Rhinolophus ferrumequinum: one gene and its partners. The protein of the gene in region 1 interacts with the protein of each later gene in a pairwise test. Links are inferred from orthologs where the notes say so. Each region holds a gene or a part of one and is shown in the gene's direction. Other genes may lie near its edges. The genes, in order: ZMYND19, KCTD13, SAXO1 and TNFAIP1.

The links.
Region 2: the proteins of ZMYND19 (region 1) and KCTD13 interact in binary tests that used the Homo sapiens proteins (3 or more experiments, as listed by UniProt). The two-hybrid records come from large-scale screens. The link is inferred for Rhinolophus ferrumequinum from reciprocal best matches to the Homo sapiens genes ZMYND19 and KCTD13.
Region 3: the proteins of ZMYND19 (region 1) and SAXO1 interact in binary tests that used the Homo sapiens proteins (3 or more experiments, as listed by UniProt). The two-hybrid records come from large-scale screens. The link is inferred for Rhinolophus ferrumequinum from reciprocal best matches to the Homo sapiens genes ZMYND19 and SAXO1.
Region 4: the proteins of ZMYND19 (region 1) and TNFAIP1 interact in binary tests that used the Homo sapiens proteins (3 or more experiments, as listed by UniProt). The two-hybrid records come from large-scale screens. The link is inferred for Rhinolophus ferrumequinum from reciprocal best matches to the Homo sapiens genes ZMYND19 and TNFAIP1.

What each region holds. Positions count from the first base shown.
Region 1 is NC_046295.1:83,566,131-83,573,518, reverse strand, and holds the start of ZMYND19 (zinc finger MYND domain-containing protein 19), read left to right. Parts: upstream 1-4,376; 5' UTR 4,377-4,586; coding exon 4,587-4,637; intron 4,638-4,820; exon of another isoform or gene 4,821-5,179; coding exon of another isoform or gene 5,180-5,185; intron 5,186-5,771; coding exon 5,772-5,831; intron 5,832-6,582; coding exon 6,583-6,689; intron 6,690-7,283; coding exon 7,284-7,388. UniProt on the Homo sapiens protein: May be involved as a regulatory molecule in GPR24/MCH-R1 signaling.
Region 2 is NW_022680357.1:925,407-933,214, reverse strand, and holds the start of KCTD13 (BTB/POZ domain-containing adapter for CUL3-mediated RhoA degradation protein 1), read left to right. Parts: upstream 1-4,796; 5' UTR 4,797-4,997; coding exon 4,998-5,241; intron 5,242-6,571; coding exon 6,572-6,741; intron 6,742-7,808. UniProt on the Homo sapiens protein: Substrate-specific adapter of a BCR (BTB-CUL3-RBX1) E3 ubiquitin-protein ligase complex required for synaptic transmission.
Region 3 is NC_046295.1:20,399,546-20,406,625, forward strand, and holds the start of SAXO1 (stabilizer of axonemal microtubules 1), read left to right. Parts: upstream 1-4,079; 5' UTR 4,080-4,094; coding exon 4,095-4,117; intron 4,118-7,080. UniProt on the Homo sapiens protein: May play a role in the regulation of cilium length. Stabilizes microtubules at low temperature.
Region 4 is NC_046304.1:19,042,687-19,049,528, reverse strand, and holds the start of TNFAIP1 (BTB/POZ domain-containing adapter for CUL3-mediated RhoA degradation protein 2), read left to right. Parts: upstream 1-3,842; 5' UTR 3,843-4,047; intron 4,048-6,842. UniProt on the Homo sapiens protein: Substrate-specific adapter of a BCR (BTB-CUL3-RBX1) E3 ubiquitin-protein ligase complex involved in regulation of cytoskeleton structure.

The sequences.
Region 1 (7,388 bases):
CCGTTCTCTGGAGCATTTTCTCAATTCCCTACGACTGGCAATTGTCATCACTTTGGCCCAAATAAGCCAGAGAGACCCTCTACAAGTGTGGACGTTCCTTATGCCGATGGGGCCATCTCCCCTCGACCTTGAAGCTCCCAGCTTTAACTCGTGTTCTGGGTAATGATCCACCAGCCTCCGCTGTCACTCCTCTCCACAGCCAGGTCAGCTCCTGACTCACTGTCACTCTGTCCAGTACCACTCTTGTTAGAATTCTTAGCAATTTCAGAATCCACATAGGTGACCCTTCCAACCTCCTGGCCTCTGTCTTAAAATGTACCCAGGATTAGTTTTAATCAGGTAAAGCGACAGACACAGAGACAGTTGCTTGCAAGTCTAGTACTTACAGTGCCACACCACATAGGGTCACGTGGGAAGTAGCAGCATGGCTCCGGAGGCAGTGGGGAGGGACAGCACGGCCCAGAGCCCATATTGTTTTCTGTGGGAAGGAACAGTGAGGCAGTGCAGGTGAGTTTGAGCCCTTAGGATGGGACAGTGTCAGCAACTTCAGTGGGCTCGGCTTGGGGCAGGCTCTACTTGTCCAGCACCTGTGATCAGATGATTAGGATGATTAGGAAATCCTGGCCCGGTGTGCGAGTTAGATGAAGGAGGTGGCTGGTGTGGGCTCTGCATTGGTTGGTTTGCTTGTGGAGGCGTGTTTGCTGTCTCTAGGAATTAGCTAGCCTGGGAGAGGCAGGCTGTCCCCAGCAGCAAGAGTCCCCAGATGTCAAAGTGAATACAGAAAATGAAAGCCATGACCAATACAGCTCTCATTACGCCGACTCCCCTCCTCCAAGAACCTTCTCCAGCTGACAGCACCTGATGGCATTGTCGGTTGGTCTACAAAGATGTCTGCCAACCACTTCTCCCACCCCTTTACTTAAGTTCACGCTGTTCCTGCCATCAGAAGGTGGGTTCCATTCCTTCCCATTGAACTTTAACTGGCAGTACTGGGATGGAAGAGATGCCATGCCAGTTGCAGGTTCTTGGGAGCCCCAAGATGCCACGAAAAATGTCTGGTTAACCTGCTGGAGAGATCGCACAGGGAGAGATAGAGTGCCCGGGCACGTGAGTGACACCAGCTCAGACTTCCTGCCTCAATTACCCCCCAGTGACTGGCTGTGCCAGTGCCATGGCCGTGTTAGCTATCGACTACTGCAGCACAAACCACCCCAGTTTCTTATTCGTTCTGAAAATAGGCCCCCGAGGAGGAAGGTGGGTGTAGTGACCAGTCCTCAGGCCTGAGCTGTGAAGTCCCATAACTTTCTACCACATTAAATGCATCAAAACAGTCACAGGCCCAGTGCAGGTGGAGCATCACAAACATACAGACAGAGCAGGAACTGGTGCTGACGACAGGAGACAACTGGCCTCACCAGCCAACAGCACAACCAACCAGTTGAGCCCAATCGAGATTCCAGAACCACGAGCACCTGAATAGTTGTTTTAAGCCAGTAAGTTTGGGGTGGTTAGTTACGCAGCAACAGGTAACTGGAATGGATATTGGTCCTTAGAAGTGACACATTGCCACTACAAAATTCCAAAGTGTGCCATTGACTTTGGAACCCAGCAGCAGGTGCACACACCTGCAGGGCAGTGAGGGCATTGCTGATGGAGGCTGGAGACAGCGTGAGCCGGGATGGATATTGACAGAAAAATGGCAAGACCGCTGCTTGTGGTAATGTGGAAGACAGAAAGTGAATCTAATGATTTTCCTGGCAGCGGCTTAAAGGGCCAGTTGGCTTCTTTCCACACAAGAAGGCAAACCAAAGGGAGGGGAGTGTTCTCAAAAACATTTGCGGTGCAGCTTTTGTCTAATGGAGTAGGTTATAATTTGATACATAGAAAGTCCACAGTTGTATTTTTAATTTTTTTTAATTGGGGAATATTGGGGGAACAGTGTGTTTCTCCAGGCCCATCAGCTCCAAGTCATTGTCCTTCAGTCTAGTTGTGGAGGGCGCAGCTCAGTCCCAAGTCCAGTCGCCGCTTTCAATCTTTAGTTGCAGGGGGCGCAGCCCACCATCCCATGTGAGAATTGAACCAGCAACCTTGTTGTTAAGAGCTTGCGCTCTAAATAACTGAACTATCCAGCCGACCCTCCAGCAGCTCAGATGCAGCTTGTTGTCTTCAATCTAGTTGGGGAGGGCGCAGCTCACTGGCCCATGTGGGAATCGAACTGGCAAACCTGCTGCTAAGAACTCGTGCTCCAACCAACTGAAACATCCGGCCACCCCCAAATCCACAGGTTTTTAAAAAGGGTTGTATTCTGCTTGAATTCAAATGGACAGACTTTGAAATAAATGAGGGCTTTGGGCCCCTGACTTTCTACAGGCAAATGGCTGGCTGAGGAAGCTACCCAGCAGCAAATATGGGCTACTTCCTATGGAAAAGGGAGGATGACAGAGGTGCAGGGCCAAGGTCCTGGAAAAGCCAAGAACTGCTGAAAACAGTAGACTAGGAGAGCTCTTACAGGGAGCAGACAATCCATGCTAAAGGAACATCGGGACAGATGCCTGGCTGCATTTCAAATTGCTATGGACCAGTGACTCCACAGTGCACTCCTCCTTTTTCAAGGGGATGTCTAGCTCTTGTCCTATGGAATGGAATGTTGGGTGTTGGGGTACAGACAACAGGCCTCTGCAGCAAAAGGAGCCACACTCAACGTGCCTTGCCCACACCGGGCCGTTTTGTGCATCATAAAACAATGGACCCCAAGCCCAGTACCTTGATGAGACAGTAATTCTGGAGGTCTTAGGAGGCCCTGAGTGCAATCTTGCTGTGACAGGGGCCGCAGGGCAGACTGGGGCAGGCTGTGCCACTGGTGCCCACGCCCCCACCAGTGAACCACACTTCCCAGAACTTGTGCTCTGCTGCACAGCCCTCCTACACTGGCTCTGGGCTTGCCTGCATGAATCGCTTTGTCCAGTGGGGTACTAGAAAGCATAATTCCATCAGAGGCCCAATAAATGCTTGCCCAATGGGAAGCGCCCTCTATGCTGTAAGGAAGTGCAGGTGTCCTGCCTGGTCACGTGGGGAAACCCTGTACAGTGAGATACGACACAGAGAGGTTATATGGAAGAGAAGTGAGGTGCTCCAGTGAATTCCCGAGTGAGTGCAACCAAAGGAGGGACCCAGCTGCCTGCCCCCTCTGTCTCCTTAGCCAGAGTGATGCATTGGAAAACTACTCTGTTCAAACCCTCCAATGGCGTCACTTGTTGGTTCACTCCCGGTTCACCCGTCTGGTCAAAATGGCCACCTTGATGTTTCAAACACGCCAGATGTGTTCCCAGTTGAGCCTTTGCCCTGACTCTTCCCTCTATGCCCACGTCTCGCGCCCTCTCCTCTCACTGGTTGTTCACGTTGACTAGTCAGCGAGGCCCTACTCTGCTCACCACCTTCACTGGGACCCCCGCCCCAACATTGATCCACTCCTTTCCCCACAGCGTTTATCACTTTCTAACACGGGCGTATAACTCACTTATCATAGGCCTTTTCTGCCTCCCTCCCTGGAAGATGAGCAAGGGGGTGGACATTTGCTATGTGCACTGGTGTGGAGGCGTTTCCGTGGGTAGTGGAGGGAGTGGACGCCAGCAGAGACGGGGGGGTAGGCAGAGGCCCCCCACCCCCAGACGTCAGGCCCTGGAGTTGCTGTTTAGGAAGGACCTGGACCAGGCTGGTCAGTGCCCTGGAAATCGCCCCGTCTCAGTAGAGGAGCTTGAGGCACAAGGAAGTTTGGTGTAGCCAGGGCCGGGGGGCGGGGCCCGTGGTCCCCACGCCGCCTCTGTGAGGAGACGGCGGGCGGCCGGGGAGGAAGGAGGGCGGTCAGGGGCCCTGCCAGCTAGCCGCATTCGGCTCGGGCCGGGCCGTCTTCGAAGTCCTGCAGGCACTGGCCACCCCAGACCCGACTCCACCGCGGCCCCGCAACTCCCGGGTGCCGTCCGTACACCGGGCCGCCTGCCGGCTGCCCGGCGGACGCCGGACCGCTTATGGGGAGCCGCAGCGAGTCCTGCCAGACGGTCCGGGGCGCGCAACCAGGCCCCTGGGCCGCGCGCAGTATCGGGGGTTGGTTGCCGGCGCGAGGCCGGGAGCTCGGAGCGCCGACGCCCGCACAAAGCTTCCCGCGAAACTGACGTAGCGCCAGGCGGCCGCGCAGGCGCCGCCCCCGGCCGCGCCCCTCCCCCGCGCTCGCCCCGCTCCTCAGCGCGCCGGCGCTCTCGCCCGCCTCCCATTGGCCGCGGCGTGGCGGCGCGCGCCGGCCGGTGCAGGGCGCGCCCCGCTATTGGCCATGCGGCGGCGGGCGGGGGTGTGTCCGTGCCGCGCCCCGCCCTCGCCTCCGCTCGCTGTGGTGCGCGCGGCGGCAGCGGCGGCGCGTGGCAGGTCCGGCGGGCGCGAGGCGGCGGCGGCCCGAGTCCGGCCCAGCCTCGTCCCGTCCGGCCGCCCGGACCCGACCCCGGCCCGCTCGCCCGGCTCGCCAGGCGCGCCGCGGCCCCGCCCCGGCTCGGCGCCTCCCGAGGGAGCGGCGCCGCCGGCCGAGCGCAGGCCTGGCCATGACAGACTTCAAATTGGGCATCGTGCGGCTCGGCCGGGTGGCCGGGAAGGTGAGCGGCGCAGGGCTGGGGGCCCGGGGCTGGACTGGCGGCGCAGGGTTTGGCGGTTGTGCGGGCGGCGGGCGGGCGGCCTGTCCCCGCGGTGGGCTGCCCTCCGGCCGCGGCCTGGGGCTCCGACGGTGCGCCGGGGAGGAGGGGGCTGTCGGCTGCACCTGCGGCGCGGAGAGCGCAGCGCCCCTGCGATGCGGCGCGCTCGCTCCTTGCCGAGGCCGGTGTGTGCGCGCCGCTCAGTGCCTTCGGGTCCTAGTGGAGCTTCGCGCAGGTTTCACGCTGCCAGCGGTGGCCACGTCTGGCCGAGCCTCAGTGGGCCTCGCCGGGGCAGGGCCTCCCTCCGCTTCTCTCCCGTACTCGGCCCCGCCCTCCGCGTGTTCGAGGCGGGGGCTTCCTAGCACCTGTGGTCATCGAGGCTTGGCTGTTTCCAGGAGCCGGCCGGCCGTGCAGCTGCACCAGCCGCGGACCTTACCCTGGATGGGAACCCTGTTCCCATCACAAGCGGCGGAAGCTTCTGGGGAGAGAGGAGCACAGGCAGTGAGATGAAGGTAAAACGGACTCAGATCCTAGAAGAAGCTTCCCAGGCGAGAGTGAGTGGTCCGGAGGCCGTTACCTGCCCGTCCTGCAGGCGGCGTGCGGCTTTCTAACTAGAAGGGTGGGCTCTCCGCAGTCCGAGGCTCCTGCTGACTTACCGACCGGTCGTGTTAATGTCCTCCTCGAAAGCTTTTGCTGGGGACAAAAAGCTAAAAAGGACAACTCAGTGAGCACCTGAGTCCCGAGTCCCGTTTAATCAGCAAGCACTGCAACCTTCTGGATATTCTGCCTCGGCCCGGGGCTCGTCTCTGCTCCAGCGACGCCGCCTGTTGGACTGGGTTTATTGGCACATCATTCAGACGCACAGCTTAGAGGCTGGCCGGCCAGTCCCGTGGCACCTCGAAGGCTTAGTCGGGTGCGGGTGGCAGCGAGGCCTGAAACCTGCTCCAGGGGTACCAGCGATTGGCACGTCCACCTGCGCAGCGGTCGGCTGCTCCGCCCCGTGACGGCCCCCTCTTAGGCTGATGGGCCGCCCCTGCCTGTTGCCAGTGCCTCCGCCAGATCCCCAAGGTAATGTTTCGAAATGTGGTTGCTTTCTAGACCAAGTACACGCTGATAGACGAGCAAGACATCCCGCTGGTGGAGGGCTACTCCTTTGAGGTAAGGGCCCCCTTCCCTCTGCAGGCCTGCTGTCCGTCAGTGCCCGGCAGGGCCGTGAGGGATGGTGCTCTTCCCTGAGATGTGAGGGCAGGACCTCGCATGAGGACACGGGTCTGTGCTGCCTGTGTCACGCAGGGCCTCCCTCACGTCCACCCTTCTTGCCAGCTCTTTCTGAAAAACAGAACAAATTGTCACGTTTGTGACTGGATGTTCAGTTGGACAGGCCCCGGCACCTTGGGAGACTGTCCCATGCCAACTTACCTTTTCTCTGGCCTTGGCCCCACTGTCTGTCCTGGTGCCCAGTGCTCCTTTCATCTTCTGAGTGCCCCACCTTGCTCTGTCTGTGTCACTCACTCCTTCCTTAGGGACACGCTCCAGGCATCTGTGGGCCAGCACCCCCATCTCTGCCCTTCACGTTTTCACAATGGTGTCTTGTGCAGGGGTTCATCTTGCTCCCGGGATTGTGGGCTTCTCGGAGGGGCGGGGATTTATGTCGCTGTGCCCACGTATTGTGCAGAGTGCTTCATGAGTGTCTTGCTTGAATTCATGAGGGTGAAGAGGGTGCTTGTTGGGGCACGCTGGCATATCCGTGCCGCGTGTCTTTGGGAGCTTCTGCACATTCCCAGGGCCCCAGGAACAGGCCTGGCATTTGTCCCTCTGTTTGTTCACGTCGCTCAGTGTTTCTAAGAGGTGTTTAAAATGTTGCCGAAAATCAGAGGCTTTCTAACAGATCTCTTCCCATTCCTCCTAGGCCAGGATGGAGGTCGACGCAGATGGAAATGGCGCCAAGATATTTGCATGTGCCTTTGACAAAAATCGAGGAAGGGGGTCAGGAAGGCTTCTTCACGAGTTGCTGTGGTGAGTATTTTTGAGCTATTGTTCCATCCCTGGGTCTTGCATGAGTCCTGATGTGTGTGGAGCCAGTGGAGCCACCTGCCCTTGTTTACAGATAGTGCTTTTGCATCGTTGCCACTAAGTGAGGAATGAGTGACTACACACTGTGGCACTGGCAGGGGAGCCTAAAGTTTTCAGCCACCAAGTGCCCTTTCTGCTCCGGTGTTCGTTCTGGGGTACACAGTGTCCTCTGGGGGAGCATGGGGCCTCGTCCCTCCTGGGCTCTTGCTGGGCCTGTTAGGGGGATGTGGGGAAAGGATGGCTTTCCTCGGTGTGCTCTGTGGGGTCCAAAACGCGGGGGGCCGTGCACATGGGGCATTTTCTAGGCCGTGTGTTAGATGGTTTGGGACTCCAGCCATGGCCTCTTGCAGCCTCGCTGACCTGCCAACGTGGTCTGTACGTTTGAGCCACAGACTGACACACGTGGAGTCCTCTGGGCAGCCTGCTCCTGCTGCGTCCCCTACACGGCCGTGTGAGGAGGGTCAGTTCAGACCACATGGCTAACAGGCTTGGGTAGGTCTGGGAGGTGGGGTTAGAGACCTGTCTGTCTGCCCCCAGGGAGCGGCACCGAGGGGGCATCGCCCCCGGCTTCCAGGTGGTACATCTGAATGCGGTGACGGTGGACAACCGCCTGGACAATCTGCAGCTGGTGCCGTGGGGCTG
Region 2 (7,808 bases), on another chromosome or scaffold:
GGGAATGTCAACTGGTGCAGCCACCTTGGAAAACAGTATGGAGGTTCCTCAAAAAAGTAAAAATAAAACTACCATATGATCCAGAAATTCCACTGCCTGAAGGAAACGAAATCTCTATCTCAAAGAGATATCCACCCTCATGTTCACTGCAGTATTATTTACAATAGCCAAGGCATGGAAATAAACTGATGAATCAATGAAGAAAATGTGATATATACACATATAGAAGCCACAAAAGAGGAAGAAATCCTGCCATTTGTGACAACATGGATGGACCTTGAGGGCATTACGCTAAGTAAAATAAGTCAAACAGAGAAAGACAAATGCCAGATGATATCACTTATATGTAGAATCTAAAATAACTGAACTCAAAGACAGAGAACAGATAGGTGGTTGCCAGAGATGGGGGGAGTGGTCTTTGGGGGAAATGGGTGAAGGTGGTACAAACTTTCAGTTATATATAAACATACACACACACACACACAAATACACACAGAGGGTGCCAAAAAAAATGATACACACATTTTAACATCTCTTAAAATGTGTGTATCATTTTTTTTGGCACTCCCAGTGTGTGTGTGTGTGTGTGTGTGTGTGTGTGTAAATTTCCAATTATAAGTAAGATCTGGGGATGAATATACGAAATACACGATAACTTACTTAACTTATAAGATCAATATAAAAATTTTAAAGGTTTTTAAAAGTTTAAATCATTTGAAAATTAACCCCAATCTTTACAGACCAAAATATTGTTCTGGCATTACTTTTCATGGCAAATTTAAAGACATTTCATGGCAAATTTAAAAAGCTCTTCTTTTATCTTGGAACTAAGGCCTTTTCTTATGTTGTAACTATAATAACAAAGCCTATGACACAAATACACTTTTCAGTGCCCCCAAAGGAAACATACATAGTTGACTAATTCTTTAAGACATTTTTAACTGTTTAAGTGGACTGGTTATTCCTAGAGTGTGCACATACAATAGAATCGGTTTCGATAGTTAATCTTTACAGTTTGCCAAGAGAGGGAAACGGACAGCAAAAACCATGAGGGGGCGCTACTTCAGAGAATTATGAAACTACACTCTAAAAAGCTAATCAGTGTTCCCTCTGCAAGCAAAGGGAAGACCATTTAAACGTAGAAAAACAGATTTTGGCATATACACGCACACACACACACACACAGAGTGGCCTTCCAGCTTATTTTAAAAATAACTTGACAATTTAATACAGTTATACAATTAAAAAGCAGCATTTATTAATCTACAAAGTACAGAAGTGAAATATTGCCTATGTTAAAATAATCTCTCTTTTTGACAAACAAGACAATCTCCTCAATGAAGTTTTTTCCCCTTTTGTTCTGAGGTACCTCTCAAATAAACAATCTTATTCTTGCCAACAGTTCCCCAAAATGGCCAACACAATGGTCCCTAGTAAAATGGTGTCAGTTAGAGAGATAAGGGTTCCAGTTACAGTAATAGTAATAAAAAATGAAGGAAGCAGGTATTTGGCCCAGGTTTAGTTGGCACACGGATCCATAGGATGGTGCCACGTAAACCTCTATCTCCAGAACTTGGCCAAAGGCTAACTGTCATTGATCAGGGTCCAGAGGAAATGTCCTGATTTGGGGCAGAAGAAACAAAACAAAACAGTTCTCAGGGACACAGACAAAACTCAGGAAGAAGTCCTCATAAAGGTTTGAAATGGTGACTCAAGGCAAAGTTTATCCAAAGGACACAAGTCTGAGGATATGTTCTGAATTCCACGGTCTCTGGGGCTGGTTGTAGGACACACTTATCGGGCCTTGGCTGACACAGAAATTTGCCTGGTTAATTCTGTTAACAAAAGAGATACCAGCACGCTACCTGGTTACAGGACTGCCAAGTGGTTTGGCATTTCCAACTTTTTAGATTGAGAAGTAGCGTTCAGCCACTAGAGATTGAGCAGTAACAGGTTTGTGATGCCCTCAGATATCCGTGGCTGCACACTCATCCTTCCCCTCTAGACTCTTCCTCTTACAGACAAACACATTCAACACACTAGACAAGAGAATAGACCATAGGAGCATGTATGGAAGGCCAGAAAACAATTTTACCAAGGAGAAATTGGACAACCAAAAACTCCAGAACGTTATTCCAAGGAAAACAAACAAAATAATTCCAATGCTTAAGGGTCTCGACAAAACATCAGGCTTACCTCCAAATCATGGGCAGGACGGCACCCCAGTTAGACACAAGGCGGTCTCAGATGTACCCGTTATTACGAGAGTCCCAGCAGTGAGGGTTTCAGCTCATCTCCATGGATCCCCCATTTCAGACAAGGCCCTCCAGCCAAAGGCCACCAGGAACACATCTGTGGTTGAACAAGGTAGAGCATAGACCATGGGGAACCCATCTTGGGCATGTCAGCAAGCACGTGTTAGAAAGACAGTGCAGGATTTAGGCTTGTGGTAGGTTATTCTCCAGGGGGGTTTGAGAAAGGGGAGATTTTCTCCAGGTTGGCTGCTGTCAGGGGGTGGGGATAATTCTTTTCGGTTATCTTAATAATTCTTACCTAGAAGTCAGGAGGAGGCATGGATCAGGGCTAAAGCTCTACTCGGTATTATAAATACGCAGCAGTCATTCCGACTCGGGGAGGGGGTTGGGTTTCGTCATTTTCGTGGTTTGGACAATGTGTGCAGACATGGTTGTGGCATGGTCTTTCAATGCAGCAGAGTGACTTTGTTTGATGTTGGAAACTGTTTCTGCTCGACAGGACAACACTGCAGCCTAGCTGTAAGTACCAGGTGGACTGCTGGCGACACCAAGGTTTCTAGAGGGAGAGGGCTGATCAACTCCCAGGAGGCCACGAGCGGCTTCTCTTTTTAACCAACTACACTTGAAAAATCAAAATTGGCAACCCCTCTTGGTACAACATGAGCTCTCCACAGGTCACCCCAGGGCCCCGCTTATCTAACAACTGGTCCACCCCACTCATTTACACTCCTACCTGCCGCCTGTGGGCATTTAAATTCATGCCCCTCAGTAAGCAGTAAAGGAACCATGGAAGCCCAGAGACAAGTGACTTGCCCAGGATCAGCCAGGGAACTCGTAACACCCGAGGTTGTCCTGTTGAGCAGAAACAATTTCCAACATCCGACCAAGTCACTCTCTAACGGATTGAGAGAACGCCTATTCCATAATCACGTCTGAACACATTGTCCAAACCACAAACATGAGCAACCACCACCGTTCCCCCACCATTCCACAGCTCCGTGTGCAGCTTTTCACTCCAGCAAATCCCCCTGCCAGACACTGAGCCAGAGCGTTACATCACACGTTGCACCCCACTTTCTCATCAACAGTGTGTCTATCTTGTTTCTTCTTTCTTTCCAGGTTGGGTATCTCACATTAGCCGGGAGGTTAAGACCTTTGTTGAGCTGCTCCAGCCACCCTTGGCCGCCTTTCTGCTCTTTCAATTCACCAAGCCTGTTCTTGCCTGGGCATTTTTGTATTGGCCCTTCCCTCTGCCGGGAAGTCTGCCCTCACCCCTCTATGTGGCCTCTTCTTCTCAGCTTCAGCTCAGTGCCACCTCCTCAGAGAGACCCTCCTTGATGACCTTACTTACAGCCTGCATGCCCTAGCACTATTGCCATCTGCCCTCGGAGGCCACTCCGTTTTGGCCTTCTTAAAAAGAAACGAGGGCTGGCCCAGTGGCTCAGGTGGTTGGAGCCACCTGCTCCTAACTCCGAAGGCTGCCAGTTGGATTCCCACATGGGCCAGTGGGCTCTCAACCACAAGGTTGCCGGTTCGACTCCTACAAGGGATGGTGGGCTGCGCCCCCTGCAACTAAGATTGAACACGGCACCTTGAGCTGAGCTGCCGCTGAGCTCCCGGATGGCTCAGTTGGCTGCAGCGCATCCTCTCAACCACAAGGTTGCCAATTCGATTCCTCGAGTCCCCCAAGGGATGGTGGGCTGCGCCCCCTGCAACTAACAACTGGCAACTAGACCTGGAGCTGAGCTGCGCCCTCCACAACTAAGATTAAAAGGACAACTTGACTTGGAAAAACATCCTGGAAGTACACACTGTTCCCCAATAAAGTCCTGTTCCCCTTCCCCAAATTAATAAATAAATTAAATAAATAAATAAAAACAGAGTTCCCAAAATGTTAAAAAAAAAAAAAAAAAGGCATGGAATGAGCCGGTGGGCACGCCTGGGAGAACCCGCCTGCTAGACCCCTGGGGAGGGCAACCTTGCCTGAAGCCACACATTCTTTGCTAAGACTTTCTTTCCCTTTTCTTCCGCTGGCTTTCGGCCTGTGATTTTAAAACGTTTTCTCGTCCACCGCTTGAGCAGCGCCTTTCTGTTCGCGGGATGGGATGCGGCCGCCCGACTCACGTGCGGTTGCGCAAAGCCCCCGTGAGCTTTACCCGGACTCGGCTGGAGTTGTGCGTTTTCGCAGCCTCCTTGGAGAGCGTCCCCGGGCGCTCTGTCCACAGCGCTCCTCCGTCGGTCCAGGTGCTCGGGGTTGGCGGGTGGGAAACTCGCCCAGTGCCCTCTACGGGCCTCAGTGTCCCCTTCATGCCCGCTCAGCGCCTTGAGAGCCGAAACCCAGCCAGGAGGCGGGGACGTCGCTGTCCACATCGGGCAGGTGGCCGGGCGCTTCCCTCCGGCGGCCCCGGTCCTGCGAACGAGAGCGCGCGCCTCACCTCTCCCGACCGCCGCCCCGCGACGCCTCCGCCAGCCCCAGGCCACTGCGCATGCTCCGCACGCCGGCCTCGCGCGGATGGGGGCGGGACTTTGACGCGCCTGCGCAGTTGCTGGGCCCGGCTTCCGGGAGGTGCCGGCGCGATGGCATTGTCGGCCAGTGTCGCTGGGTAGCGGCGACGTGTGGGCGTGTGGGTCCTGTGATCTGGCCCCAGCGCTCGGGCCCCCGGGTCTTTGCCGGCGGGCACGGAGAGGGCTGCAGATCGCCGGCCGCCGCCGCCGCCGCCCCCACCACCACCACCCCCGGGCATGTCGGCGGAGGCCTCGGGCCCGGCGGCGGCCCAGGCCCTGTCCCTGGAAGTCCCCAAGCCTTCGGAACTCGAGCCTGGACCAGCCGCCTACGGCCTCAAGCCACTGACCCCCAACAGCAAGTATGTGAAGCTGAACGTGGGCGGCTCGCTGCACTACACCACGCTGCGCACGCTCACGGGACAGGACTCCGTGCTCAACGCCATGTTCAGCGGCCGAGCCGAGGTGATCACAGATGCCGGAGGTACGCGTGCTGCCCCCACTCGTGCTTCCCTCCATCCTCCGGAGCGCCGTCGCCCTGACTCCCCGGTTTTCATCGCCCAGTGTGTGTGTGCGCTCGTCTCACTGCCCTGCAGACAACTCATTCTCACCTCCAGTCCCCACTTCCCATCGAACCTCCCCTTTCTCATTCACAATCTCCTTTCTCCCCCAATCTTGACCCCCCAGCAATAACCGACACTTAATGGAACCATCCCCCTCTCCCCCAGTTCTGCCAGCCGCTGGTAAGTGGTAAGTGATTCAACATGTCACCCCAGAATTTTCCTGACCACTCCCTCCCAATTCTCCCACTTCTCGGCTCAGAAAACTTGGGAACCAGCCCTGCTGCCAGCAGCCCTCTTTCCACCAACCTGCATCAGTTTCTGACAACCGCCCAGCCTTTTTATCCCCCCTTCCCTGCCTCAGCGCTGCTAACAACCAGCCTGGAGTTGCCGGAGTGTCTGGTCTGTCTGTGTTTCCCCCAACACGCTCTAGCAACCCATCTGTAAATGCAGATTGTAGAAGAAGGAGGCTGCTTTCTTTGAGTTTGCCAGGGACACCCCCGCGGAGAGGGTGGACAGTTCTCGCTGGCAGGCGAACCTTACCTTCTGGGAGTGTTGCATTCAGATTTCGGCCCCACTGTGCCCAAGTGGAACCGTAAAGTGTGGGAGAGTTCAGAGGGGTTAAAAAGGATTGTGAGAACAGGTAAATAAACATTTGGGAGGTGCAGCTCAGTCTTCAGATAATCTGAAGGTGAAGAATGTATTTATTTAATAAGTGTACACTGCCCGTTAGGGCTTGAGATAGTTTGTTTGGTAAATGAAGCTCAGAAGAGTAGCCTTATGAAGTTTACTTTTTTGTGGGGGCAGAGGAGAACAGTAAGCAAGTAAACATACAAAAAAAAAAAAAAAGACATGTAATTACAGATACATAGTAATAAGTTCTATGAAGAATAGAAAGGTTAAAATGGTAGTGAACTGGCAGGTGAGGTAGACATTTTCATTAAATAGGATGGTCAGAATTACACACGAGAGGTAGAGGTTTATTGATAAGGTAATCTGTAAGAACTTTCTAATCTTCTCAATGTAGAATAGACTTAGGAGGGAACTAATTCTCTCTGGCTGGATACGTTAGAAAGGGGCCTATGGGAACACTCACTGGACATGTTTAAAGGGGATTTTCTTGGATAAGGCCGAGGTTTGAGAAAGATCAGTTTTTAGACTCGTAGCTTTGGAATCCTTTTTTCATAAAAATTTCATAGCTCCAGGGCCCCCAGCAAAGCCATCCTTTCTCCTTCCTCTCCCCTACTCCTCCAGGTTGGGTCCTGATTGACAGGAGCGGCCGCCACTTTGGCACAATCCTCAACTACCTGCGGGATGGGTCAGTGCCACTGCCTGAGAGTACCAGAGAGCTGGGGGAACTGCTAGGGGAAGCACGCTACTACCTGGTACAGGGTCTGATTGAGGATTGCCAGCTGGCACTGCAGGTGAGGGTCCCTCCCCAACCTCCAGAGTCCCACCCCTGTGTGCCCATGTCCCTGGGAGAGCTGCCAAATAGTTAGATATTAGGATATTGGGGTGGAAAAAAAGGAAACATGGAGTACTGCCTGAAGAGGCTGCCTCTGGCCTGGCTTTGACTAGCCCTGGACCCCAGAGAATTTGGGGGTGCTGCCCTCTGCATCCCTTCTGCCTCAGGCAGCACCATTCTCAACATCTCATGCCAAGACTGTTGCAATGGTTAAATGGCTGCTCTCTCTGCTTCTTGCTCTTTCTACCCAGCCAATCCAGCTGGTACACTACCACCTGACTTATGCTTAATCTTGCTCAGAAATCATAAGTAACTTTCTTATGCCACTAGGAACAAAAATATCTAAATTTAAATTGGAACATAATGACCTCTGTGATCTGTTTCTATCCTGGGAGGCAGCACCCAGTGCCCACCCCAGTGGCTTAAAAAAAAAAAAAATTTTTTTTTTTTTGGCAATAAAATGTGGCACAACCCAATAAAACAGGGTTGTTGGTACCAGAGCCCCACCTGCTGGGCTTCTGTTCTGTGGATCGCTTCGGGTTCTTAGGAGAAGACTTGGAAAACACAGCCAGGATATGTGCATTAAGTGTCACTGCTACCGCAGCTGACTGAGTGACATTGAGTCAGTCAATTCCTACCTCTAGCATTCTGTCCTCATGTTCCAAAAGATAAGGAAACGAGAAAAATATGTACAATGCAGTGGGTTTTACATAAAACCTTTTGTTCAGTCCTATTTAAAAGTTCTTTCTTTTAGGATACAATATTAATAGATTGTAAGAGTTTCACTTTTGATGTCCTTTGTATATTAAAAAGTGACAACTATGAACAATTTCCTATTATCTTGGGGAATACTTATTTTCAAAATCCGAAAGCATAGAATTCCTTTGGGCTGTATCCATGTTTTTCAGACTTTGTGATTGCAGCCCATAGAAAAAAATACACTTTATATTCACATATATATTCACATTTTATATTCACATATATTTATATTCACTATAACTGATACTTTCAGCAAAATATACTCTG
Region 3 (7,080 bases), about 63 Mb from region 1:
AGGAAGCAGTCAGTGGCAGAGCTAGGATTGGAAATCAAACCTTCTTGCTTCCGTAGTCTGTCTCCTGGAGTGAAGGAGAGCCCTCTTCAGTGTCCCCGTCAGGCTAGGCTCAGGATGGGATCCCAAAGGACCGTGCTAGAGGCAAGACAAGTCATGGATTTCCACAGATGCTGTTCTCCTTACAAACTGTAAAATTCTATGATTCTACCTTGGAGTCAACTTTTGTTTTACTTTTTTTGGATTCCATTGTAAGTTCTCTACTACTTCCTTACCATATATCAGAAAAAGTCAGCATTATTTCCTTTTACTTCTGGCCCTTAAATAAATCCTGGAGTGGAAAGAGAGTTCTGACAGGTGAAAGCACCTTCTCCCTCCCTTTTCTCTTCACTGCCCATTGGCCCCACATAGGATTGTTTGGGTGTGCTCTTGATCAAGGGGACCAAGACACCCCCTAAAATGATACAAGTATCAGAGATCTCGAAGAGGTCTCATTTCTTTGGCTCATGACTCTCAAGACTACTTTTAAATACCCCAAGCATGGGGATTCCATAAACTTTCTTCAGACATGATCTAGATCCATAAAAACTGAGAATCTGTTTTTTCCCTTTTCGCTCTACTAATGTTAGAACAATTCGTTTTCTTTGTAAATATCTTTCTTTCAGTAGATAATCCTTTTATACACGGTCCAACTGTCCATCCATCTATTAAATAAGTGTACCAGGCACTGGGCTAGCTTCCAGAACACAGAGATGTCAGACTTGGTCTTTATCTTTGAGGAACTCATGGGTAAAGACCAACAAGGAGAATCTATGGTGCTTGGTGACTTGAGAGGGATATTCAGGGTGTTTGGGTACAGGTAAGGAAAGGAGGTTACCCCATGAGCAAACTCAGACAATGAAACATTTACTTTCAAATAAGAACTTTGGTATTTCAGAGTGAGACAAGATTCTAGTTAATTGGCAACAAGTCAAATAAAGAAAACCTGCCCTATAAATATATATTAGATATAAATATATATTAGATATAATAGAACGCCAATCTCTGGATGCAAGTGTGTTGTATACTAAAATCCCCTCTTATGATAGCAATAACAGTGCAGTATTTTGCCATTAAATTTATCTTTTTTTTTTAAATAAGACTTTGTAGTATGTTTCAGTTTTAAGAAGGAACAATATGGAAAGGGGGTTAGATAAAAAGCAAAGTCTTACTGGTTTAAAAAAACAAGGGCACTGGAAGAGAGCAAATATTGCTATGTCTGTGGAGTCCATTTTGTTGCAAGTGACTGAATCTAAGTTATCCTTGATAAAAATCTTTACTTCTCTCTCAAAGAGTGTGGGTGAATAAAATATATCTGTGGTATATATTTTTGTTACCAACACTTCTTGGCTTTTGATTTGAGTTTTGTAGGAATACTAAAATAATAGGGTACTAATTGGCTCAGATTGAAATCTCAGATAATTGGACTGATCATGAGCCCGGAAATGGTAATAATGGCTAATGTTTTTAAACTGTAGGGGATGGTTATTTTGTTTACCATGAAACACAACAATTTATCTTGAGTGGACAGAAGATTAAAGCACTCAAGTCATGTACCTATGATTAGGACATACTTTATTAAATATATATAAAATATAAATACATATTCATCTTTATATATTAAATGCCAACAATGTGTATTTTGAAAAAGGAAAACTAAACTGTCACTGAGTGTATTTAATACTGTAAAATTCAGATATTCATAGTACAAGGACAGAATATTTGTGGAAGATTTCCTTGTACGTAATTAGGGAAATTTAAAATATTCACCATGAATCAATAGCCCCCCCCCTTTTTTTGAAAGACTTTACTGGGGAAGAGGAACAGGACTTTATTGGGGAACAATGTGTACTTCCAGGACTTTTTTCCAAGTCAAGTTGCTGTCCTTTCAATCTTAGTTGTGGAGGGTGCCGTTCAGCTTCAAGTTGTTGTCCTTTCAGTCTTAGTTGTGGAGGGCACAGCTCAGCTCCAGGTCCAGTTGCAGTTGTTAGTTGCAGGGGGTGCAGCCCACCATCCCTTGCGGGAATCGAACCGGCAACCTTGTGGTTGAGAGGACGCGCTCCAACCAACTGAGCCATCCGGGAGCTCAGCGGCAGCTCAGCTCAAGGTGCCGTGTTCAATCTTAGTTGCAGGGGGCGCTGCCCACCATCCCTTTTGAGCCGGCAACCTTGTGGTTGAGAGCCCACTGGCCCATGTGGGAATGGAACCGGCAGCCTTCGGAGTTAGGAGCACGGAGCTCCAACAGCCTGAGCCACTGGGCTGGCCCCCTCGATAAATAGCCTTTTTATAATAACTAAAAGAAAAGTAAATGTGACAAGTTTATATCATCTTAAGACTTTTTCAAGGCACAAATCTACAAATGAGAGGAAAATAAATTGGGATATCTGTAAAAGTACTTGCTTATATGCAGTTCTATTCATATGAACAATACAGGTGTCGATCATTTCCTCTGGGGGTTGGAGAGTTGAAGAGGGTACAGTGATAACAGTGGTGGCAGCAACATTTACGTAGAGAGCTGAACTTACTAACAGGAGCAACGTACTAATTGTTGCCTGGAAAATAGTTTAGATTAGAGCAGTGGTGAGTTCTCTGTATGTCTGTTTCTCTCCTTTCTTTCTCTCCTCCCCTATGTGCTGCCCCAGAGTGCTGTGTATTTTAGTTTCTGTAATTCAAATCAGTTCAGCATTAAAAAAACTTGCAATAATCCTGTGCCATTCCTTGATATAATTAAGTTGTAAATCATTAATGAAGTTTTATCAGTATACTGGTGTCTGATGACTAGAATTGCCCCAACTTGTTTGTGAGGATTTTGTATATGGGCACACAAATAATTGATACACTTCTTAGTTTTTGGAGCTCAAATGGCTGCCCTTTGTCTAGCAGTAGGTAGAATAATAAGGTTCATTTTTTACTGTGCATATAAAATGGAAAAACTCACTATAAATTATAACTGCAAATTATTATTTATCACCTACTGTATAGTGAGGCATAGAGTTTATTTAACCACTCATTTATATGCTCAGTTATTTGTTCAATAAATGTGTGCCAAATGCCTACTGTGTGCCAGGGAGGATATAAAGTATTAGGGATATAGCAGTGAACAAGATAGAGAAGGTCCTGAGCTTGACAGAGGAGACAGGCAATAGACAAACATACAAATTACAGATAACAGTGAGTGATGAGAAAGGCATACACGGGGATAAGAGAACTATGAGAGGGAAGGGGTGATGGGGTGTATTTTAGGTTTGAAATGATCAGTAGAAGTCTTTCTAAGGAGGTAACAATTGAGGTAAGACTTGAAAGAATAAAGGAGCCAGACTTTCAAAGTGCAAATGGTTTCATGTAGTCAGTGACATTTAGTATACTCAGAACTGAGGTGGTTCCGCTATATGAGGCCACTTGTGTGCAAGGATGATGTTCGGACCCGGAAGCCAATGAGGGAAGACAGCATCCTGGCCCTAGAGCACGGCCTTGGAACACCCTGTCATGTATTAAGCCCTTATTTTCTGGGTGATTGGGAGGCTTGGGGAGGCCTCAGGGAGAGGGTCTGGGGCAGCTGGGTTGTCACTCAGAGGGCTTGTTGGCCACAACCATTTACCCATTATGAGGGAAGTGTTTCAACAAGCAGCATGGCAAGTGTAACGGCTGAACATCAGCCATGCTTGTGTGTAATTCTATGATCCAAGGGATTTTGGCAATTAACCAATAGCAGTTCTAGCTCATGTAAACAATTCTGGCCACTTCGCATAGTTTGGTAGAGAAAAGGAAGAGTAAAATTCCTGTTTTCAATGCCCACAGTCATGATTTTATAGTGTGGGTCACATTTTGAGGAAGTAACATTATCAAACTGGATGTCTTCTTCACAAGAAGGTAACCAACCCAAGCTCATGTGTTTTTATAGGCGGCATCACTGTCCATATCTCCCGACGAAGATTTACGATAAAACAGAGAAACCATGTCTTCTCTCCGAATACACCGAGAACTACCCTCTCTATCACTCTTACCTGCCCAGAGAGTCCTTCAAGCCCAAGCTGGAGTACCAGAAAGGGTCCATCCCAATGGAAGTCCTGACCACATCAAGGTGAGGGCAATAGTATGAATATATGAACGTATAACACTCATGGAATAATGTACAGTAATAATGTACAGTGTTAACGTAATAATGTGCAATATCAACATATGCTATTAATGCCTTAATGTTAATTTGCTATATCGCTGAAAGAAAATCTTGCATTTATCAACCTGTTTGGTTTTTCACAATCTCTTTTCAATGAAAAGGATTTTTTGTGTGGTGGGTGGGGAGTGGGAGAGGGGCGGGGCTAAACTGATCTACATAAGAAGAGTTGGCGGTTAAGTAAGGAAGGGATGGAAAGGGGGCTGCTGTTGAAAAAGGAGGTTTGGGCTTTGGCACCTAAGCTCCAGATCAGCTGGAGTGGTGGTCGTGACGTTGGCAGTGGTGAAAGAGAACTTGATCATAGAGAAAGAGTGAGTTGTTTTGAAATTATGCTGTAGAGTTTGAATTGGGATCCCCTTCAAGAATGGGAACAAAGAACATTTCCTTATAAATTTCTCTTGCCTTATAAACTCTGATTCTTTAGATCCAGTTCTGGCTTAGTATATTTGGTTTGCAGAGGTATCTGTATTAAGGGGGTCAGGGGAAATGATCAATTTGAGGATTGTTCTACATGTTGCAAGACTCCAACAGAATCTGCCATTGACAACTCAGTGATCACCAGGTGGTGACCTGTGACTGGTGACCCAGTGCAGTAGAAACATCTTTGAGTGCAGTTGGGCAGTGTTTCAGATTATAGAGTTTAGTTCCCAGATGAGACCTGACACATCTTTGCCTCTGACATTCCTCATCCCTACAGGGCAGGATTGCTGTGAGGTGGAGATGAAATTGTTCCAGCATAGTACCTGCACACTACAGGTTCTCAAGACCTGGTCAGTTTTCTTGCTGTTGCTCCCTCTGTGCCTCATAATTTTGTGCTTTTCTACTAACGGTCCCAGGTGACCCAGGCTAAGCAGAACATCTCTAATATTCATTCTGCCCCCAAGTTACCCCCTGGTAACCTGGAAATATCCTGTGTTGAAATGGTGGGTTGGAGGCCTGAAGTGTTCCTGTAAAAAGCTGCTATCTCCTAGATCCAAAGGAAGAAGTCCATGTCTGGGCTATGGGGCAGAAAAGACACAAGAGGGGAGAAATGAAGTCAAGGGATTTCTGAGCTTGGTGGGAGCCATTGGATGGGGCAACTTGAAAATGGGAGAGAGTTGAGGGCCTTGTCTGATGCTTGACTTGAATCAGGTCACTTTTTTTTTTTTTTAAAGATTTTATTGGGGAAGGGGTATAGGACTTTATTGGGGAACAGTGTGTATTTCCAGGACTTTTTCCAAGTCAAGTTGTTGTCCTTTCAGTCTTAGTTGTGGAGGGCGCAGCTCAGCTCCAGGTCCAGTTGCCGTTGTTAATTGCAGGAGGCGCAGCCCACCATCCCTTGCAGGAGTTGAACAGCAACTTTGTGGTTGAGAGGACGTGCTCCAACCAACTGAGCCATCTGGGAGCTCAGTGGCAGCTCAGCTCAAGGTGCCGTGTTCAATCTTAGTTGCAGGGGGCGCTGCCCACCATCCCTTGCGGGAGTAGAGGAGTTGAACTGGCAACCTTGTGGTTGAGAGCCCACTGGCCCATGTGGGAATCGAACTGGCAGCCTTTGGAGTTAGGAGCACGGAGCTCCAATCACCTGAGCCATTGGGCTGGCCCTCAGGTCACTTTTATGCTAAGCAGTTCTCTTAAATGATTTGGTTTAAGCACAAGCTTTCTGGGTCCTGACTCATGAAAAAATTGTAATTTACGCAAACTTTTTTCCAACCTATGATTTATTGAACAACATGAACCTTAATGGTTGGGCTTCGTTTTACCAAGAAAAAAGCATTCTTAGTTTCTAAGAGCCCAAAGAACACAACAAGAGATGTAGACCCTTCCAGAGCATTGCTTTTCCTTTTAAGAAACCCTGGTCAACACTGATGAAAAGTCCTTGGCATATGCCTAAGAGACATGTAATTGGTACAAAAGGATAAGAGCTGTGTTGAGAAATGGCTTGCAACATCACATGCAGTCTCTAGATGTTGGTCTTCTCATCTCTTTATACCCAATTTGCAGGAAATGAAGAATGCCTTGTGAATATAAAGTAAGGTACAGTTTCAAATGTTATACTAGGGATCTATTTCCTGTCCTGGAAATACAGAAAAGCGTGTTTGAGGATTGGGTGTTGGGGAATGCTTTTTGTTTGTTGCTCCCATGCTTAGGAGAACGAGGATAAGCCCTCTCTCTGGGGCAGCAGCCCTGCTCCATCGCCTGGCTCTGAGCCCCCCAGAAGGAGCCCCACACGTGCCCTCCCACCTCTGCCTTCCAATGGTGCTTTGCAAATCACAAACTTCCCCTCTGACCTGTCCTAAATTATTCTTGCCTCATGTCACTTACAATAATAAACATATCACCCAGAAGGTCCCTCTGTCCCTGCCGGAGCCAGAGTAACAATATCATTCATGTCAAGATGTGGCCAAAGTGGAGGAATGCAGAAGCGGAAAGAATTTCCAAAACAAGTTGTTAATGACCATAGGGGTTTTAAAAAGAAAAAGTGGTGGGATCAAGGTTACCCATAGGAAGGAAAAAGAGCAGAGATACTTCTCTCCTCTCTTTTATTTCCTTCCCCACAAAGAGAACTAAGGGGGGAAATAATCAGAGATCATCTTTTCTCTCTTCTGTACCTCAGTTTCATCATTTTTCAGCTCTATGACTGCCATGCTGGGCACTAGTGTTTATAGACCAAGGACAACACTATGTCCCTATCAGGAGGAGTTTTTTTGGTTTTTTGTTTTTCTTTTTTCAGAGTTCCATTGAACTTTTATTGAAATAAATGAACAGAAATCAAGATTTTACCAACCATCTTTCCTGAACCTCATAAATTCCGCAGAGAGTCTGGTCCATATATGTGTACAAAATTATTCCCTATCAGGAAATGTAGAGAAGCTGTCCTCTGAGTATGCCAA
Region 4 (6,842 bases), on another chromosome or scaffold:
TTTGTTTTAAAAATGCTATCAACATAAAATGATTACATTTATTAAGTAACAGGGCTTAATAACACATGGAACTTGTAATATATTTTGAACTCAGGGGAACACGGTTGCGCTCAGTGGGAAAAATGAAGTTGCGCTTTGGCCTGCAGGATTGCTGGCAGGTCCAGAGTCAGTTTTGTGGTTGAGATGCGAAGGACGTCACAGAGATGGTCGTTGGTCGCTTTGGTTCTCAATCTCATCACAGAAAATGTTTGTTCACATATGTATGTTGAGCCAATCAGACTCATCATTCTTTTTGCGTGGCGTCTCATCAGAGGAAACTTGGCTTCTTCCAAGCTCCGGTAGAAGTCAGGTAAGGAGAGAAGCTGATGTTGATTCTTCAGAGAAGCATCACACTGCATTTCTATAAGTTCTAATTGCAGACTATCTTCCACTTCTGCATTGATCATGAAGGGAGTCGCGGACAGCTTGATATCGTTCTCAATGGTAGAAAAATCTTGGAAGCGCTGAGAAAATTCTGTCATGAGAGGTGTGATCACAGACACATATTCCCCTTTTTATCAGAGATCAGCCTTTGGAAACGCAGATCTGATTTCGGACAGTTGGGGAAGTGCGCAACATTGAAGGTGAGCAACTGTGCCTCAAACAGTCGGAGCTTCGCACAGAACGCTTTCATGTGTGCGTGAAGCTGCGGTACGAGTTGGTCTTCTTTGCCTTGTAGGCTTTTGTTGAGTGTGTTGAGGTGTTCAGTGAGATCAACTAAAAATGCCAGGTCTGCCAACCATAGGGGGTCACTCAGCTCGTGAAGAGGTCGGTCCTTTTGTTTCAAAAACTGGTGGATCTCTGATCTCAGATCTCAGAGAATAAAACCGCTGAAGCACGGAGCCGCGACTTGACTTAGCCAGGCACTTCTGAATAGTAGAGCAGGTCCCCATATTCAGCATCAACGTCAGGTAAGAAAGTTTGAAATTCCCTGTGGTAGAGTGCTCGTACTCGAATTCTGTTTACCGTTTTCACAACAGTGTTCATCACGTCGCTGTCTTGGCACAGATGATACAGTGCATTTTACCTGCCCCACCTCCGCTCTCCTGCACCTCGGCGCACACCATAGAGGCCATTCCTTTGAGCTCGCCTGTCATAGCTGGAGCTCCATCCGTTGTAACTCCACACAACTTGTCCCATTTAAGTCCTATCTTGTCAATTGCATTTGACACAGCTTCAAAAGTGTCTTTACCCGTTGTTGTGGTATTTAGACTGCGGAGATCAAGCAGCTCCTCCGTAATGCAAAAGTTATTGTCAACTCCCCGCAAAAAAATTAATAACTGTGCGGTATCTGTGGCGTCTGTGCTCTCATCACATGCCATGGAGTAGAAATCAAAAGCACACGCTTTGTCTGACAGTTAATGTTTTATGTTGGCTGACAAGTCTTCGATTCGCTGCACAACTGTGTTTCTTGATAGGCTAATGCTGTCAAATTCTTGACTTTTTTCTAGGCACATTATTCCTGCGACTTTAGTGAGGCACTGTTTTATAAATTCACCATCTGAAAAAGCCTTCCCATGCTGGGCAATGAGTTGAGCCACCTCATAGCTGGCTATTGTGGCATTTTCTTGAGTTTTTTTGGCACAGGAAAAATACTGTTGTTGAGCTAGCAAGATAGTTGAAATCTGCTTAACCTTCTGTTCTCGTTCCACACCAGTGTAGGACATGTAGGTCTGATGTTTGGTTTCGTAGTGTCATCTTACATTGTACTCCTTCATCACTGCGACACTCTCACTACAAATCAAACACACACACTTCCCCTTGACTTCCATAAAGAAGTATTCATTTTCCCACCGTGTCTGAAATTTTCTACACTCACTTGCTATCTTGCGTTTCTTTGGTGTTGTCATTTTCAGTGCGCTGTGGCAAAATTTTTCTTTCCTTAATTTTGTTTTGTAGAGGAACTGCCTTGATCAACTCAGTAGCTCCACCTAGAGTTAAAACCAAGAAATGCAATACCGCCCGGTTTCCTGAGCGGGCCATATTCTGGTATATTTTTGGAATTTGCTGCGGGCCAATTAAAAATGGATCGCGGCGGCAGTTTTGAGGGCGGTAGTTTGGACACCCCTGATTTAACACCTCCTGGATGACTAATCAGACCAACTGCTCTAGAAAGCTTCAGTAACCCAAGAGAGCAAACACACACCTGCTTCCACTTCTACTCCCTTTCCTGAGAACATGCGTTTATTCAGAAACACCTACTGAGTCCCAGCTCTGAAGACAGAGTGGTGAAGAAAGGGTTTCAATGCTTTTAGTTCCTGACCTCTGGACAGATAGTAAACAAATAATCACCAATTGTGCTAATAGTACGAGGAAAAGCACTGGTACCGGGTGAAGGGGCAGCAGGAGAACATAATTCTCATGGGGGCGGGGTGTCAACAAAAGCCTTCTGAAAAAGTGACAATCTGAGACTTCAAGAATGTCTAAACGTTTTTTAAGTGAACTGGGGAGGAGGCATTCCAGGCAGAAGGAAAAGCATGTGTGAAGATCCTGCGGCTGTAAGAAATTTAACACATTCCAAGCACTGAAAGGCTAGTGTGGCTGAAACAGTGAGCAAGGGGGAGCATGGAACAGAATGAGGCCAGATGGAGAGGCTAGCGCTGTCATAGAGGGCTCTGAAAGTCACAGTAATGAGTTTGGATTGTATCAGAAGGGTAAAGGGCAGCCAGTGGGTTCTCAACAGAGTGACATAATCAGACCTGCCTTTTAGAGAGATCAGTCGGACTCAGAATGGAGTGGATTAGAGGGAACAAGAGGGTGGGGCCACACCTCCCTTGTCCATCACTCTAACCCTAGCATCTAGCATGGGGCCTGCACATAATTGGCACTCAACAATTGTTTGTGGAATGAATGGCTGAAAACAGAGGCGGCTATTACAGTAACCAAGGCTTAGAGCCAAAGAAAAGTGTTCCAATTTGAGATGCTTTGTAAGTGGAGTTGTTAGAATTCAGTCAAGGAATGACTGAATGTAGGGGTTTGAGGATGCGTGAAGGAGAGTCTGACAAGAGTCCCATTTCTGGTTTGAGACAACTGCATAGCTAGAGGGAATAGCCGAATGAGATGGGTAAGACCAGAGAAGGTTCACAGCTGACTATCAGATTCTCTTCCAACTCCCACCCCACGCGCGTCTGAGCATCTGAGAAACACCGGGCACAAAAGCCAGACCGAGCTCCCCGGAGGCGTTTACACTCTCTCCGCCCCTGACGCCCCCGATCCACGCTAGGCACTACCAGCAGGCTCCGTCTATGGAGTGTGAGGAAAGGGCACTGGGAAGAAAGTTAGATCTGGGTGGTGGAGCTGGCTGTCTTCACTATGTAAACTTCTTGAACTTATCTGAGCCGCAATTTCCTCATAAGATTGTTGCGAGTATCAACGGGCAAAGCTCCAGGCCCAAGCTGTGTGTAAAACCCCTGGGACAGCCTTTCCTTAGCGCGCGCGGGCCTGTCATCTCGCCCCGATTCCGCCCGCGTCCCCCGACCCAGGGTCACGGCCTACCTTCCGACCCCGTAGTGGCGGCGCGCTGCGGCGCAGGCTGATGTCGGCTGGCAGCTTCTCTCCCCGGTCCGCGGCAGCCGTACCTAGCTCGCCCGCCTCAGCCGCTGCCACGGCTACAGGACCTGTTTACACATCACGTCACTACCTGACACCGGAAGCACTTACACTCGATTAACCCGCAGAGCCTGCTGGGAAACAGAGGCCCAAGAAGAAAGTCGGCTGCCTACAGGGTCCAGAGGCCTTTGCACCGGAAAGGCTGCCGGAAGTAGCTGTGCGTTTACCACGGAATCCTCTCAGGGGCTCTTCCCTCTGCCCTGATTGGGTGCTGGGCTTGCTTGGCCTTATAATCTCAGGATCGTAGGCTGGCCCGGCTGGGCGGTAACTCAAGGCGGAGTCCGCGGTCGGAGGGTGTGAGTGCACAGCCCGGGATTGCTGGCAGGCTGGGGCCACAGCCTAGGGGCGGCACGGTTTCGGCTTGCAACCAAGCTGAGAGGAGAGGCGCCCCCAGGGACGGTGAGAACCGGGTTTGCCGATACCCTGGGGGAAGGGATGGATGGGCCCTGGGCTGGAGCAAAGAGAACCCCACCTGGACCTGGGGAAAAGGCGAGAGACGGTGTAGGGGAGAGGGAGAGCTTAAATCCCCTACTGAGGGTGTGTCAGAACCGGCCTCGTTTTCTCGCCAGTAAGGAGGAGGACGGGCTGGGAGAGACTGTACACTGGCCACAGAGAGGTCGGGCTTCCCTAAATTTCTCCAGACCCTTTGGATGAAACCTAAGATTTTTACACCTAGGATTTCATCTAGATCCATTGTGCCTAACCGAGATCGGCTCTCTTCCCGCTCCCCGTTTCCCCTGTGTGTGACGAACTTCTGGGTCTTCCTTTAGGATGCCACCTCCTTCCACAGTCGTGGTTGTTTGCCCTTTATTCTACTTGGGTTCCCCTTAGCTTCGCTGAGTGAGACACAGATACGCCCGTAGCTTCAGGCATCCCCAAATAGCCACATCGAAGTCCGGAAGGAAGAGCACTGAGGCTACCAGTGGAAACTTCATTCTCACTGGAATTACTTTCTGGGGCGTCACCTGCCAAAGAATTCCTGGAACTCATTGGTCTGGGCAGAATCTGAGCTGACGTCATCCAAGGGCTCATAGTAATTGCTTTGTAGGAAAGGAATAGATTAGCTCTGGATTTGTCTTCCTCTGTTGGCAACCAACTAGCCTTTGAGTTCCTTTGCTTTGGCAGAATATGTACGTGTGCTTTCTTTGATCCTGGGGAAATTGGGGCTAGATACAAAATACGTAGGGACTTGTTAAAACCTGTTAAAGGCTGGATTTATTCCTATGGAGTGGGCTGAAGAAGGTAAGGTGATCTCATGCTAGTGTTACTTATTGATTGGGCAATCTTCTGGTGAGGGTTCATTCCATCCTTGAGGCTAATGAGTCAAAGGAATTCAGTACTTCACACAGCATCTGCTCTGGCCCTTCCTTGGACGTTCTTCCCAGGGACCTACCTAAATCTTTTCAGGGACAATTTCAGTATAACAAACCGACATATATTAAATACTTTAAAATGTGTATGGCATGGTGCTAAGCACTTTGGAGAATGGAGCAATAAACTTGGGAAAACCAGTGCACTGCTTTTGGGTTGCCCTTATAAGAGATCTTGGCAACTGTAAATTTCTGCATGTTGTGATGGTTAAATGAAGTAATTTCACTTTTTTCTGTCTCGGTTATCGTCAGTGTAGTCCAAGCCTTCACCATTTCTTGCCTAAACTACTGCTTCCTTTGGTCTTCCCACTTGCTCTCTCGAACCCTTAAATCCATTCTCCGCAGCACAGCAGCCAGAGTGAGCTTTTCAAAATAGAAATAACTCAGGTCATATCACTCCCCTCCTTAAAACTCCAATCGGGGCAGCCGCTTAGCTCAGTTGGTTAGAGCTCGAAGCTCGTAACAACACCAGGGTAGCCAGTTCGATCCCCGCATGGGCCATTGTGAGCTGCGCCCTCCACACCTAGATTGATACAACTGCTTGAGTTGGAGCTGATGATGGGTCCTGGAAAAACACACTTAAATAAAAGTTTAGAACAAAAGAAAATTATTAAAAAAAAAAAAAAAAAACCAACCAGGTCTCCAATCGATTCCCATTGCAATTGGTATAAAATCCAGACTCTTTAATATGATTTCGGCCTCTGCCTTCCCTTTACCTCAAGCCAACTTTCCCCTTTCTATGCACCAGCTATCTTGGCGTGATTTTTGTTCCTAAAATGTGTGTCTAACTGAGGAACTTGGCACCTACCCGTCCATGTGTCTAAAATACTCCTTCAGACCTCAGCTGGAATATCACGTTCCCAAAGACGCTTTCCCTGGAGCCCTGTCTAGATTAGTGCCTCTCGCTAGTCACTTTCTTATCACTGTTTTATTACCTTCATTGCATTTCTCGCTTTTGGTTTACCTGCTTATTCATTTTTTGTCTATATCTGCCAACTAGAATGTAAGCTCCATGAGGCCATGCCTTGTTTGTTCTCTTCTGTATCCCCAGTGCCTGGCACATAGCACAGGCACAGTAAATGCTAACTCTTATTATTTTTATTTTTGTTACCATTATGATGCTTCTTTGAACGCCTTGAAGGCACTGCGTAACATAGTAGGCACTCACTGTTGTTTTATTGCTGAGTGAAGTAATGAGCTAATAAATATTAAATGCCTAGAATAGTACCTGGAACGTAGTCAACATGCAGTGAATGTTTGCTATTACTTTTTCTTCAGCGAATGAATTTTAGTGATTCTCTAAAAAACCAAAACATATAATATAGAATCTAAATCACAAGAGGTGACCTGACTTTGCCTTCCTTTGCTTTCCTTGCTCCTCCCTTCCATGAACTTCTAAGTCACTTCATTGTTTTTAGATTTATCATCTGGTTTTTTCTAGCCCTTTCTCCCTAGTCTTGTTGGGAAGGAAGAGAGGAAGAGATAGGGCTGGGCCCCTTTCAGGAAAAGAAGCAAAAATAGCCATCCTGTAGTTGTTCTATCCTGAAAAATGGTGACAATTTCAGGAACTTGGGACCGGGCTGGTGCCAAGAAAGGGGAAGGTCAGGAAACCCTGGCTTCAGCCACCTCTGCCAAGAACACTGACCGCGGTGTTCCCTCCAGCCTGACTCATTCCATGCTCTCCTGAAGCTGCTTTACTTGCCTTCCTGAAGCCAGACTCCGGGTGGTACTAGTGCAGGCTGCTCCTGAGCCTGGAATCTTTAGAAGGGAAGTACATCCTGTCGCTCGGGCTCCTGGGAAACTCCTAGGCTGGCTAGACTCCCA